3 linked regions of the Caenorhabditis elegans genome follow. The protein of the gene in region 3 purifies or fractionates together with the protein of the main gene of each other region. This does not show direct contact. Each region holds a gene or a part of one and is shown on either strand. Other genes may lie near its edges. The genes, in order: F29B9.1, R12B2.3 and agl-1.

What was found.
Region 1: the proteins of agl-1 (region 3) and F29B9.1 fractionate together in Caenorhabditis elegans (co-fractionation; one large-scale study listed by BioGRID). This does not show direct contact.
Region 2: the proteins of agl-1 (region 3) and R12B2.3 fractionate together in Caenorhabditis elegans (co-fractionation; one large-scale study listed by BioGRID). This does not show direct contact.

Annotation. Positions count from the first base shown.
Region 1 is NC_003282.8:4,663,256-4,667,008, reverse strand, and holds the start of F29B9.1 (Protein-lysine N-methyltransferase CELE_F29B9.1), read right to left. Parts: upstream 1,631-3,753; 5' UTR 1,586-1,630; coding exon 1,524-1,585; intron 1,467-1,523; coding exon 1,286-1,466; intron 1,240-1,285; coding exon 1,111-1,239; intron 645-1,110; coding exon 454-644; intron 1-453. Other genes in the region: jmjd-1.2 (JmjC domain-containing protein), read right to left, coding at 2,068-2,123, 2,174-2,911, 2,966-3,338, 3,657-3,753.
Region 2 is NC_003281.10:5,803,562-5,807,314, reverse strand, and holds R12B2.3 (Ras-associating domain-containing protein), read right to left. Parts: upstream 1,743-3,753; 5' UTR 1,706-1,742; coding exon 1,701-1,705; intron 1,655-1,700; coding exon 1,561-1,654; intron 1,423-1,560; coding exon 1,087-1,422; intron 1,018-1,086; coding exon 944-1,017; intron 601-943; coding exon 522-600; intron 453-521; coding exon 378-452; 3' UTR 333-377; downstream 1-332. Other genes in the region: R12B2.2 (Golgin-45), read right to left, coding at 1-185; him-10 (Kinetochore protein Nuf2 homolog), read right to left, coding at 2,321-2,617, 2,665-2,722, 2,780-3,085, 3,142-3,693, 3,740-3,753.
Region 3 is NC_003280.10:14,355,937-14,359,689, forward strand, and holds the start of agl-1 (Glycogen debranching enzyme), read right to left. Parts: upstream 2,178-3,753; 5' UTR 2,027-2,177; intron 1,633-2,026; 5' UTR 1,595-1,632; coding exon 1,513-1,594; intron 1,467-1,512; coding exon 667-1,466; intron 622-666; coding exon 444-621; intron 373-443; coding exon 29-372; intron 1-28. Other genes in the region: pre-mRNA 3' end processing protein pfs-2, read left to right, coding at 2,551-2,799, 2,850-3,020, 3,085-3,180, 3,495-3,649, 3,698-3,753.

The sequences.
Region 1 (3,753 bases), on a different chromosome or scaffold from region 3:
TTTAGGTGCATACGAGAACTTTGAACTAGAAAAAATCGATCTGAACTCGGTTCAGCTCATTTTTTCAATATTTTTTTTGAATCTAATGAACAATTTGAGACGATTTTTAAAAAATTCAAAAATCCTGACTTTTTTTAATCAAAAAATTTGGTTCAGTCAAAAAAAATTCCGATTTTTTCTGAAACCTTGGAAAATTGTTGGAAATATCTAAATTGATTTTCTTTTTTAAATCTCCCTAATTGAAAAAATACAATTTTTAACTGAAAACTTTGGTCAAAAAATTTTTGGTCAAAAAACAATGCAAATTTTTGATAAACTTTTTAATGGAAAAAAATGGTCTGGAAGCTGTTTCAGATCAACTTTTCTCAGTTTCAAAGTGCTCGTATGCCGCTCAATTTTTTGGAGTGACCTATTTAGAAGTTTCATTTCGAGGCCCTTTTTAGGCCTACTTACAAAGTGAAATTACACGAGAATATCACAAATCGACCGCCAGCGCTCAGACCATTATCAAGAAAACCCAAGTAGGCTTTCAGACGAGCTTCTCGTTCATCGGATAGGCTCATCGCGTCCCATGTGCCTTTATCGAGAATTACATCGAATTTCGAGGAGAAAAAGTCGGCTGGCGGTGTGGTTATGTCCAATTGCTGAAAGAAAACGTTTTTGCTTTGAAATTTCGAGAAAAACAATATTTAAAGGCGGTTTGCAGAAAAAATTCAAATTGGTGAATTAATTTTAAATTCCCGAGCAAATTAATAACCTAGTTTCGACATTTCGCGTTTTCTTCGATTTTCTTATATTTTCCTTAAACTTTTGAAACACCCCTTGTCAATTTTTAGAAAGTTTTCCGCAAAAAAATTATAAATTAAAGTAAACTTAGCGCTTTTCAGGCCTTCTTCCCGGGAAAATGTCTGAAAATTGATAAACGGTGTTTTTACAAAAGAAACCAATCAAATTAGTCGGAAAACGCGAAAATGTCGGAACTAGGTAATTTATTTGCGCGGAAATTCAAAATAATTAGCTATTTTTTCGTTATTTATGCAAAAATTTATGTTTTAGATGAATAAACACCTCTTCTCCGTTTTTAATGATGCAAAATTCAAAAATTTACACCTCAAATTCAATATCTACTAATTCTTCGTCTTCTTCCTCTTCTCGCTCAGCTTTCGAAGCGGCTGCAGAAAGATCAACAGCTTTTTGACAATAATCAACACCTTTCAGACTCTGGAATCCTTTCGATCTCTGAAAAAAAACTGAATTTCAGAGGTTTTGAGCTCGAAATCCATACCAATTTCCTCAAAACCGATCCATTTCCACATCCCAAATCAAGAATCTTTGCATCTTTGCCGGTTTTCGAATCGATTAAATATTTTACGATTCGTGTTTCAGACGATGTTCCGAACCACACCTCTCCCTCATCTCCGTGTTGCTTGAAATTTTTAAGTTCCAACTCGTATCGTTGATCCCAGCTGAAATAAAAATGTTTTAGCCAACTCTAGATGTAAATTTTTAGAATTTTTACTTACAAATCCTTGGTTCCAAGTTGTGAAGAAGCAATTTCAACACTTTGTTCGCTCATGTCGCTCATTTCAAGCTATTTTAAAACCCGAAAATAAATAATAAATTCCAAAATCTGAAAAAAGTAGTTCCATAGAGCTTTTTTTGCATTTGCATTTGCCTCGTTTCTCTAATTCTCTGTTCACTCTCTAGAGAGATCTCTTCTAGGAAATCCAAGTTTAAAGTCTAAAAAGCAGATATTTTCTTGCATTTCACTTTCAACAATGTTCACATCAAGGAAAAAAATTAACATAATCAACGCTTTATTGTGCGTGTGTATTTTCAAACTACAAAAAAATCCCCGTCAGTAAATTCGGGAGATCGTCTTGTACAAATTTTTGGATGCAAAAGAACCGCGTGAAAGAATATGGGATTGTGTGAATAAAACAATAAAACGAATGTAAAAATTAGTCAAAAATACGGGGAAATTACTATTAAGATCGGGGGGCACTTTATAATTGTACGAGATTTATATTTCGTCAAAGTGCACACATATCTTGAGGTAGAGGACGTTCACATTTTGAGCTTCTTCATGAGGCGATCTCTGGAACTCATTTCCTTTTTCTTTGCTGAAAAAAAAAATTATTAAACAGTTCTCAAGGTTTCGATCTTTTCTTACGTGGTGGTTTCTCCTTTTTCTCTTTTGGTTGCTTCGGTGGCTTTGGCTCTTTAACCTTCTTGATTTTCTCTCCGGAATGAACAGCTTCACAGCGCTCCAGTTCGTTGTCAAGCTCGCGGAAGCTTTTCGTCGCCTTTTCCGGAATCTCTTCGACGCGTGCTTCGAGATGGGATCCACAATAGTCGGCCACGTTCTGATTCAACTTTACTTTTCTTCCAGACGACGTGCATTGATTATTGAATATCTGGACAACGCCCTTCTGATCTTCAGTCGGTCCCATTCCAATCTTGATGGTCAATGGAGCTGTAACTTCGGAAGGACCTGCTGCTTCAGGAACCGGAACCTTCTCCTCGGGAACTTCCTCTTTCTTCGCCTTCTTCACCTTCGGAGCATCATCATTGTCCTTCTTAGCCTTTTTCGTATACTTCTTCTTGTAGGCAGTCGAGCTGGACGGGCAATAGTCCTCATCATCCCGCTCCGCGGATTCTCGACTTTTACGTTTCTGCTTCAACCCCATCGGCTTATTCTTGGCATTCTGAATCTTCGTCTGAATCTCAATCTGCTTCCTCACCGAGATCATAATCTTATTCTTGTCGTCAGTGGGCAGGATCGCGTTCTTCTCGGGACCCAATCTCAACTCTCGATCCATCCAGCGCTCCATTTCGGCCTTCATGATTTGTGACGCCGTCCAAATATTCTTCTCCTGCTCACGCATGTCAGAACCTTCCTGATTGGCTTCTGAAATGTAGCGAATATTAGTAAAACCGCTATACAAACTAGTAAATTGCTTACCTGTAATCTTCTCAAGCAAGACGTTTCGCATGTACATCCAATGAAGAAGTTCGAAATTCGGAAAGTAGAACTTCTCCTCGCTTCTAATTTCCTTACGAATCGCGTTTTCGAGATGGTACACGCGCATTTGCATCTCAAGATTTCCCAAATGCAAGAAGTTTCCTCCAAAAACGAGCGAATCGACTGGAGTGAGAACCGCGTGAATCCAACCAGCCGGGATGAGCAGTGTCTGACCTTCCTTGATCACAACTCGCTTAACAGCTCCGTTGGCAATGTCACCGAACCATGTAGTGGTGTCCGGAGATGTCTCGTGTGCTTGATAAGCTGCAAAGTTCTGCTCCGTTGGCGCGGCGATGTAGAAGATTTTCTCGCCCTGAAAATAGAGTTAATAAGCTTTGAGAAAACCAATTTCAGTTGAAAGAAGGGTATTTCGAACATTACGATCCTAAATGTGCTCAAATCAACGAATTTCGTGATGAGGCTTCTCAAAAATGCTTTTAAAATCTCGGAAAATAGGAGATTTTAGCCAAATTTAGTCTTTTTTTTTTAATTTTGAACCTCCAAAAAAACCAAAAAAATATTGAGAATTTTTTCAGAAGTTTCAAACGAAATTCGTTAATTTGAGAACATTTTGGCGGGGTCAGAACGTTCACAATCCGCGGAACCATTTATATTCCTTCAATAATTATACCTTCAAAATGTGATAGTAGACGCTACTACCACCAAAGTCCACGTGGAAATCCGTATAAGATCCAGCCATTCCTGCGAGACAAAACTGTTCCACTTTT
Region 2 (3,753 bases), on a different chromosome or scaffold from region 3:
TTATCATGTGCGACAGCCGCCTTATATGGTTCCCATGGTACAATTCTCGTCTTTTTTATTTTTCCTTTACTCTCAGGACTTGAATTTCCATCTTCTTCTGCTCTTTTCGTAAAATGCACTTCCTCAAAATTTCCTTCAGATGCAAGTTGCAAATCATGAGCATGGTATAGATCTAGTAGATCCATTAAATATTTTAATTAATAAAAAGTCAGAGAATAGTATGAAGAAACAGGAGGGTGGAAAAGAGATGGTCAAGTCAATAAAAGGAGACGACGGCTGCTGGGTGGCCGGCTGTGGCTGATGGCCGACATTTTATTAAAAAATCTAACAAGTTTCGTTGCTCTTCAACTTTATTCAAATAATCAAATTTCAATATTTCATTTCGATTTAACGCCTTGATTGATCTCCGGTTCATTATCCACCAATTCAACACCATATTGAAGAATGAATATCTGGAAATGAGAGAGTGAAAAGAAAAAGAGACAGGACATTTCTATCGATTTTTCTTCTAGGTTATTCACCTTCACTTGCTCGGCAAGATTTTGAGCCGCCACATCGACTGTCGTATTCTTCGGAACTTTCAGAGCCAGCTTATTCTCACTGAAATGTTTTTTTGATTGGGTAACAATATGAGAAGTCTTTTCAAATATTTGATCAAAAAGGTAAGAGGAAATGGGTAAGATATCTTACTATTAGGATATATATTTGGAATTAATCTTAAAGTTGGATTAAAAGTATTAATAATTTTTATTTACACCCAAAAAGTGGAGTTTTTTCTTCTCACTAGTATTAGAAATCGGCCAAACAAACTTCTTCCAAACATCGGAGTTTGCGTCAAAGCAGAAAAAATAGGCTGTAGGTAGGCCAGAGGTAGCACCATACTTTGGAAGCCTAACCATTTCAAAAATTAATTCCAAAAAATCTAGATTTTTTAAAAACTTACTACGGTCCCGGATCCTTAACTTTGTTCAATGTCATTTGAGCAGATGTTGGTGCAATTGGGACTTTGACATTTTGCTGGAATAGAATAAAAATTAATGATTCAGATTATCCACTTGAATGGTGACAGGATCCACGAGATATTACCTTAACCGCCATTAAAGTCTCTCGATTCTTCCTCTCCTTCTTTGATCCACTATTCGGAGCGAAACCTCCGGTTTCACAAATCTTGCGTAGAGCACCGTATCGTCTCCAGGGATTGTTGGTGCTCCGCGAGCTTTGTTTTTTGAAAGTTGGAAGCTCTCCGTTTTGAAGGAATTCCGTCACAAGTTGGGTATTTGCCAAGATGACTGATTTGAATGCGACTTGATTTGGAGGCGGGGCCGATGTTTCCTTGTAAGTTTTATGAAGCAGAAGAATTGAAGATGTTGAGCTACCAAGGGAACGAGCATTTGGAAGAGATCGGGGTCCCAGATTTGAGAGCTTTTAAATATAATTTTATTTTAATTTCTTGCAGTTTAGTTTATGATTAGTTTATACACATGGAAAGCAATTAACTTCAAAGAGCGTTTCTTTTACATATATAAAACTAAAACATCATCATGTACTATGAATGCTCACCTGAGAGCACATCGAATGTACATCATCAGTGGAAGATCTTGTACCATTTGAATCATCTGGTCGAACTAATCTCTTACCCGAAAGGTCTAATGGTCTGAAAATTATAAAATCTGAAAAGAACATTATTTGAAAAAGCTTACTGCATAATTTGTAGAGTGAATTTTTCAGAAATACAATACAAAAATTGAGAAATGAACGAAAAATGTCAATGTTGAATGCAATAACTCGAGGCCCGCACGATTTATTTAAATTTATTTAGAATTTTGGTAGGATAATATTCAATTCAGAAGGACAATTCCAACTTGTAGAGCTAATGAGCGAAGAGAAGTTTAAAATTTCTGGAAAAGTTTTCATTTCAAGATAATTTTTTTTTCAAAAAACGTTTCAAAACTTCCGACTCTCACTTATTCCCTGTTTGAGCTTTCTCCAAAATAAGAAACCACGCCCACTTTTTGTCTTACTGTAGTCTTAAAGACGCAAACAAAAAAATACAAGGCAAAAAATTCAAAATTTCTAATTTTATTTTTAATTAAAAACAGAGGCACATAATCTCCCCGTAAATACCACTTGAGTGAATTCTTACCTGAAAAGTAAATTGGTGTGAAATTTCTAGAGCCTGGGAATGAAAAGAAAACATTTGAAAATAAAGACCACATGATTTATTTAGACTCAGTTAAAATTTTGTTATTGGTATGGAAGAAAGCATAACATTTACATTGAATAGAGATCAAATGAAGTGAAATTTTCGAGTTGAGTCATTCTATTTGAAAACGGAAAAACTCGAATCGTTAGGTTGTGGATCACAATTTTCCGTGTTCTCTCCGGCGTCGATTGTCGATGATCCGAATGTGTAATCACTCAGAAGGCGTCCGGTAAGAGAGCTTTTTAGACGTTCCATTTCACGTGCAGCTGCAGTGTTCTTCTCAAAAGCTACTTTCTGGGTTTCTTTGAACATTGCATTAAGTTTTGCGAATTTTGCAACAGCATCTTGGCAAGAGTTGGTGATTTGGGAAATCGTCTCACTGTGTGCGTTTTTTAGAGCGAGGAGTTCTTGCTTCTGAAAAAAATGTTGGTGAGTTTTATGAAGATTGATCTGACAAAAACCTTTTTAGCAATTTCCTGTGACACATCTGGCTGACTAGTTTTCAAATTTGCGATTTGCCTGAAAGATTTACATCGTTTAAAAAAATGTTTTCAAAGTATCAAATAAATTCCTCACTCGGTAATCTCCTCAATTCTACGCTGACGCTCTTCACTTTTCTGCGTGTGTTCTATACGCAATTGTTCATGAGTCTCCGACTGCTCGACGAGTCGCTTTTGTGCCGTTTCCATCTCCTTCATCATAAAATCCAATTGCTCCTCCATTTCCTTGAGCTTTCGAAGATTCTCACTTTCAACATCGATCAGGTCAATGATAACTTCTCGAACTTCAGTCCACTGATGGATCTTCTCAATAATCACTGGCACGTTCTTCTCCGAGTTGATGCAAATTTCACGAGCCTCGAGTTTTGCTTGAAGGCCTTTTCTGAAAATAATTACTTTTATTTTGAATTTTTGGAGAGACTGAAGATATATCAGTACTTTGATGATTCAAGACAATCGCGGAGCTCTTCAATGTGACGTTTCCTTTCCTCCATTTCTTGTTTCAGCTGTTCCGGCGATGTCAGAACTTCTTCATTCAAATGCTCAATTGTCTTTTTACCAGTTAGCATTTCCTTTTCGAGGGCTTGAATGTGCAGAATAGCTTCTTCTTTCTGCTTGTCGAGTTCTTCATTAATTTGACGAGTTTCGGTATATTCGTTCACAACATTTTTAAGTTCTGCCTTCGCATTGCTCTGTTCGTTGATTAATTCATGCTCATGACGTTTTCTTATGCTTTGTTTCGCGAGAAGATCATTTTTCTTCTTCTCGGCTTCTAACAACTCTTCCCGAATCTTTTCCATTTCGAACTTTCGATCACTGAACTCTTCGCTAATTTCATTGAACGCTGGAGTGGCCAATTCGTGAAGTTTCAGAAAATCTACAAGAAAACTTGTCAGCTTTCTGAATCGATGTTCGTGTTTTGCAGGTGTCACGAGATCGCACATCGTCAAGTCCAGCTTGTTGCCAGAATTATCTTTGATAAATGCTTTCCTGAAAAAATATTTCAGCAAATCTAACATTAAAATTAAAATCTTACATGCATTGGAAGAG
Region 3 (3,753 bases):
TCCAAAAAAAAAAGATTTTAAGACTTACCTGAGATTCTTTCAGCGCAAAATTCTTCATCGGATCACTGCTCATAACCCATCCATTAAAAGCCATTAAAAACTTTGACTTTTCTGGATCATATGCGAATTTCTCTTCTGATTTCCACCCGAGATCTGCCTCCAAATGCAGAAAATAATCAGTTGTCAACGGGTTTTCCGGAGATACAAGTCCCTTTTTCGGGCCGTTATCAGCAATTCGCTCATATGTGATTCCTCCCATCACTGCTGCCAAGCCGGCTAAAATCACTTCCCATGACTCGCGAGCGGCTTCGAGATTTTTGTTATTGAGGGCTTCTTCAAAGCTTCGAACGCATTTTTCCACTCGTTCTTCTTCTGAAAATTAAGGTAATGCCTTTTATATACATATATATAAAGCTGTTTTTTGCTGATTTATGCTTCAATACCTGACTTAGCATCTCCCCGGTGTCGATTGAAAATTCTAGCGGATCTCTCAAAGTCCACAGTGTTTCCGAATCTTCGACATTCTAAATCTTGTTCGATTTCTACATCTTCTCCGTCCAACGGGTTCGTTGTGGGACCACTAGATTGTTTGATGAACACCTCGAATAGGTTAACCATTGCCTGAAAATTGAATGTTTTTTCTTATAGTTAGAATGTTTTATTTACCTTCAAATCCACTTGATAAAACTCGTGAAGATCGGCCTTTGGCAAAACTTCTGCTCTCAGAAGATACTCGATTGCATTTACATGGTGAATATTGTCAACGACTGGTGGAACACCACGATGTTCCCACACACCTTCTCCAATCTGCTTTCCAAATTCGTGATACACTCTGTCAATTACATATGCTGGCCGAAGATGTGGACTATTCAAGCAGTTATAGGCAGACTCTGGATGCTCCAGAAGCCACGTGGCATTCTTTGCTGCGTGATTCCACACAACATCCTGTACTGTGAGTATGTTCCAGGACCGCTCAAGATCTCCCACGAGCGCTTGCACGTCTTCAAATCCGAACTTTTGATCCTGCGACTGGATGGTTTTAATCAAAGAATGATGATCACTGAGGGAATAGCTACTATTTGAGATTCCAAGCTCATGGATAGGAGTCAAATGGATCATGTTATATCCTGTCTGATGTGCAACTTCAAGTCGTTCTTTCCACTCGGAAAGCGGTCCTAGAAGCTTTGTGAGGTACGTTTGGCAAGCGATTCCATCGAGCGGCAGGCATTTTCCGTTGATCTTCAGCTCTGGCATCACCAAGAAGTATCCACTGCCTCGCTCTTCAGAATCCTCAATTTTAAACCAATATCTGAAGGATCCAGCTTCCTTGCATTCCACTTGACAGTAAACTGCCAAGTGGTCTTTTCCTTCAGACCATTCCAGAGAATTTCCAGGGCAAATAGAGGTGAAAACTTTAACTTTCTTTCCAAGAAGTGAAGAGCCGCGCTTGAATCGAACTATCCAACCTGAAAAAAGTTTAGATAAATATTTTTAATTTTATAAACAAAGAACCTTTCTCAATTTTTCTTATAACACTTTCCAAGTGCTCTCCATCTTCAAGAACAATGATTCGGATTTCTTTTTCTTCACCCATCGAGCGCTGGATTTAAAGTTTGTGGTCGTTGTATTGGCCTGAAGTTTCATTTTTAATAAACTCCAATTTAAAAAATAAATATAATAAAGAAAACTACGAAAAGCTGTTGGTGCGCGTGGTCTGAATATGAGGGCATTATGACCCAACAGAACAACATGTTTTTAGAGAAAATAGGTAGTCAAAGATGAAAAGTCAACAAAAACAATAAAAAATTTGTGATAAGAGATCGCTATCTTTTTGTCTTTTAATCAATGGGAATTAGAGAATGAGATTAAATCTTTCAAGGACGAATATTGATTTCTAAAAAACATAATGCTTGTTTTATTGAACTTTATCTATTCATGTAAAAGGAGGTAAAGATTTTAATATTTTTTATAGGTAAAAAATCCTCCAAGAACAGAACTGCGGAAACCCATAGTTTCCTCAACCAACCTATCGATTTTCTATATTTCGAGGGCCACCCGAACGCGTTGAGCCATCGAAAAGTGTAGCACATGGCAGCGCAACGTGACTTTCTTCATCGTTTTCTTCTTTTTCTCTCCTTATTTTTTCGATTTAAAAAACCGCGGCGTGCGTCAAGTGTGGTATTTTGTGTGCACTACGGCGTGGGGTATGTTGTTTGCGGACCAAGAAGATTTGAACGTGTTTTTTGTGTTGCTTCTCTGATTTTCTCAGCTGGAATTTATCGATTTTTTGATATTTTTTTATATTTTCAGACTTTATAAAATATTTGCTTTAATTAAAAATGAACAGAATATGTTGCTTCATCACCTTTTTTTCTAACTTTCAAGCTAAACTTAATGCTTTGGACTAAATAGTTGTATTTCTGAATTCCAGGCGAGTGCATCTGCCAATGAATTCGTAATAACACTAAGGATGACAGCCGTATCAAACATAGTTGGTTTTGTCCTTAATTGCTAAAAATCTAAATTTAAATTTTATCGGCGTCTTTCAACATGAACGGTGGAATGATGCGTGGCAATCAGATGCCGAATGTTACTCTAACAATTCAACCATCTACATCGTCAATGCAGAATTCTCAGCCGAGAATTATGAACAATCACCACCATCCGCATAATCGATTTCAAAGAGAACATGTGATGCCAGACGTGATGGGTGATGGTCCTGGACGGCGGTTGAGGAAGAATGTGGCAAACGTTAGAAGACATGTGGATTATGTTTCTACTGTATTGAACCATTGCGAGGTAGATATTTCATAAATAAAATTTCCTAGTTATTCTTGTAAATCGTTCAGAACCGACTTTGGCAATATGGCAAACAACGGATTCTTCAACAACCCGATATCTTATACCAACAATATGCCGTCCCTGCAGATTCAACTCCTGATGTTCCAGTGGATTGCATATTGACAAAGTTCATACGAACGGCCATGAATAAAGTCAAATGCCCGGTTTATAGTGTTTGCGTGAGTTTTTAATGCTGTTTTTGCACAATTTTAAAATTAAAATTGTATATATCTCAAATTTCAGTGGTCGCCAGAGGGTAAACGATTGATCACAGGATGCCAAACTGGCGAGTTCACACTGTGGAATGGCACAGCCTTCAATTTCGAGACGATTCTTCAGGTAAAGCACACAACCCGATGGATTACGATTTTGTATATTATGTTCACCTTTTTATGCTCAACCAATAAAGTATTCACATCGTTTCTAATGCGGCATTTCGCGGTATTTGATGTGAATAAAAGGTTTTCATTTGGCATTTTCTAAGTTTTGTGCACACAATCAGACGTGATAGTAGAAAAGTTTGAAAAAAAACGGACTTGTCGTTGAAATATTTATATATGCGCAAGAGTTCGAAAGTTCTAATCGCATAAAATTATAATTCATTTTTTGAGCTTTTGAGACAGAATCATGCTCAAAATAAAATAACTTTTTAGGCTCATGACTCTGCGATTCGGGCTCTAAAATGGGCATCCAACGAGCAATGGCTTTTAAGTGCGGATCAAGGTGGATATGTGAAATACTGGCAGCCGAACATGAACAACGCGCACATGTTTTCAGCACACAAGGATGAAGCCATCAGAGGTCTGGCGTAAGTTATGAGTTTGGTGACCTAAATAATTATTTGTTCAATTTATAGGTTTGCTCCAACCGATGTAAAGTTCGCGACAGCTTCCGACGACGGAACTGCTCGTG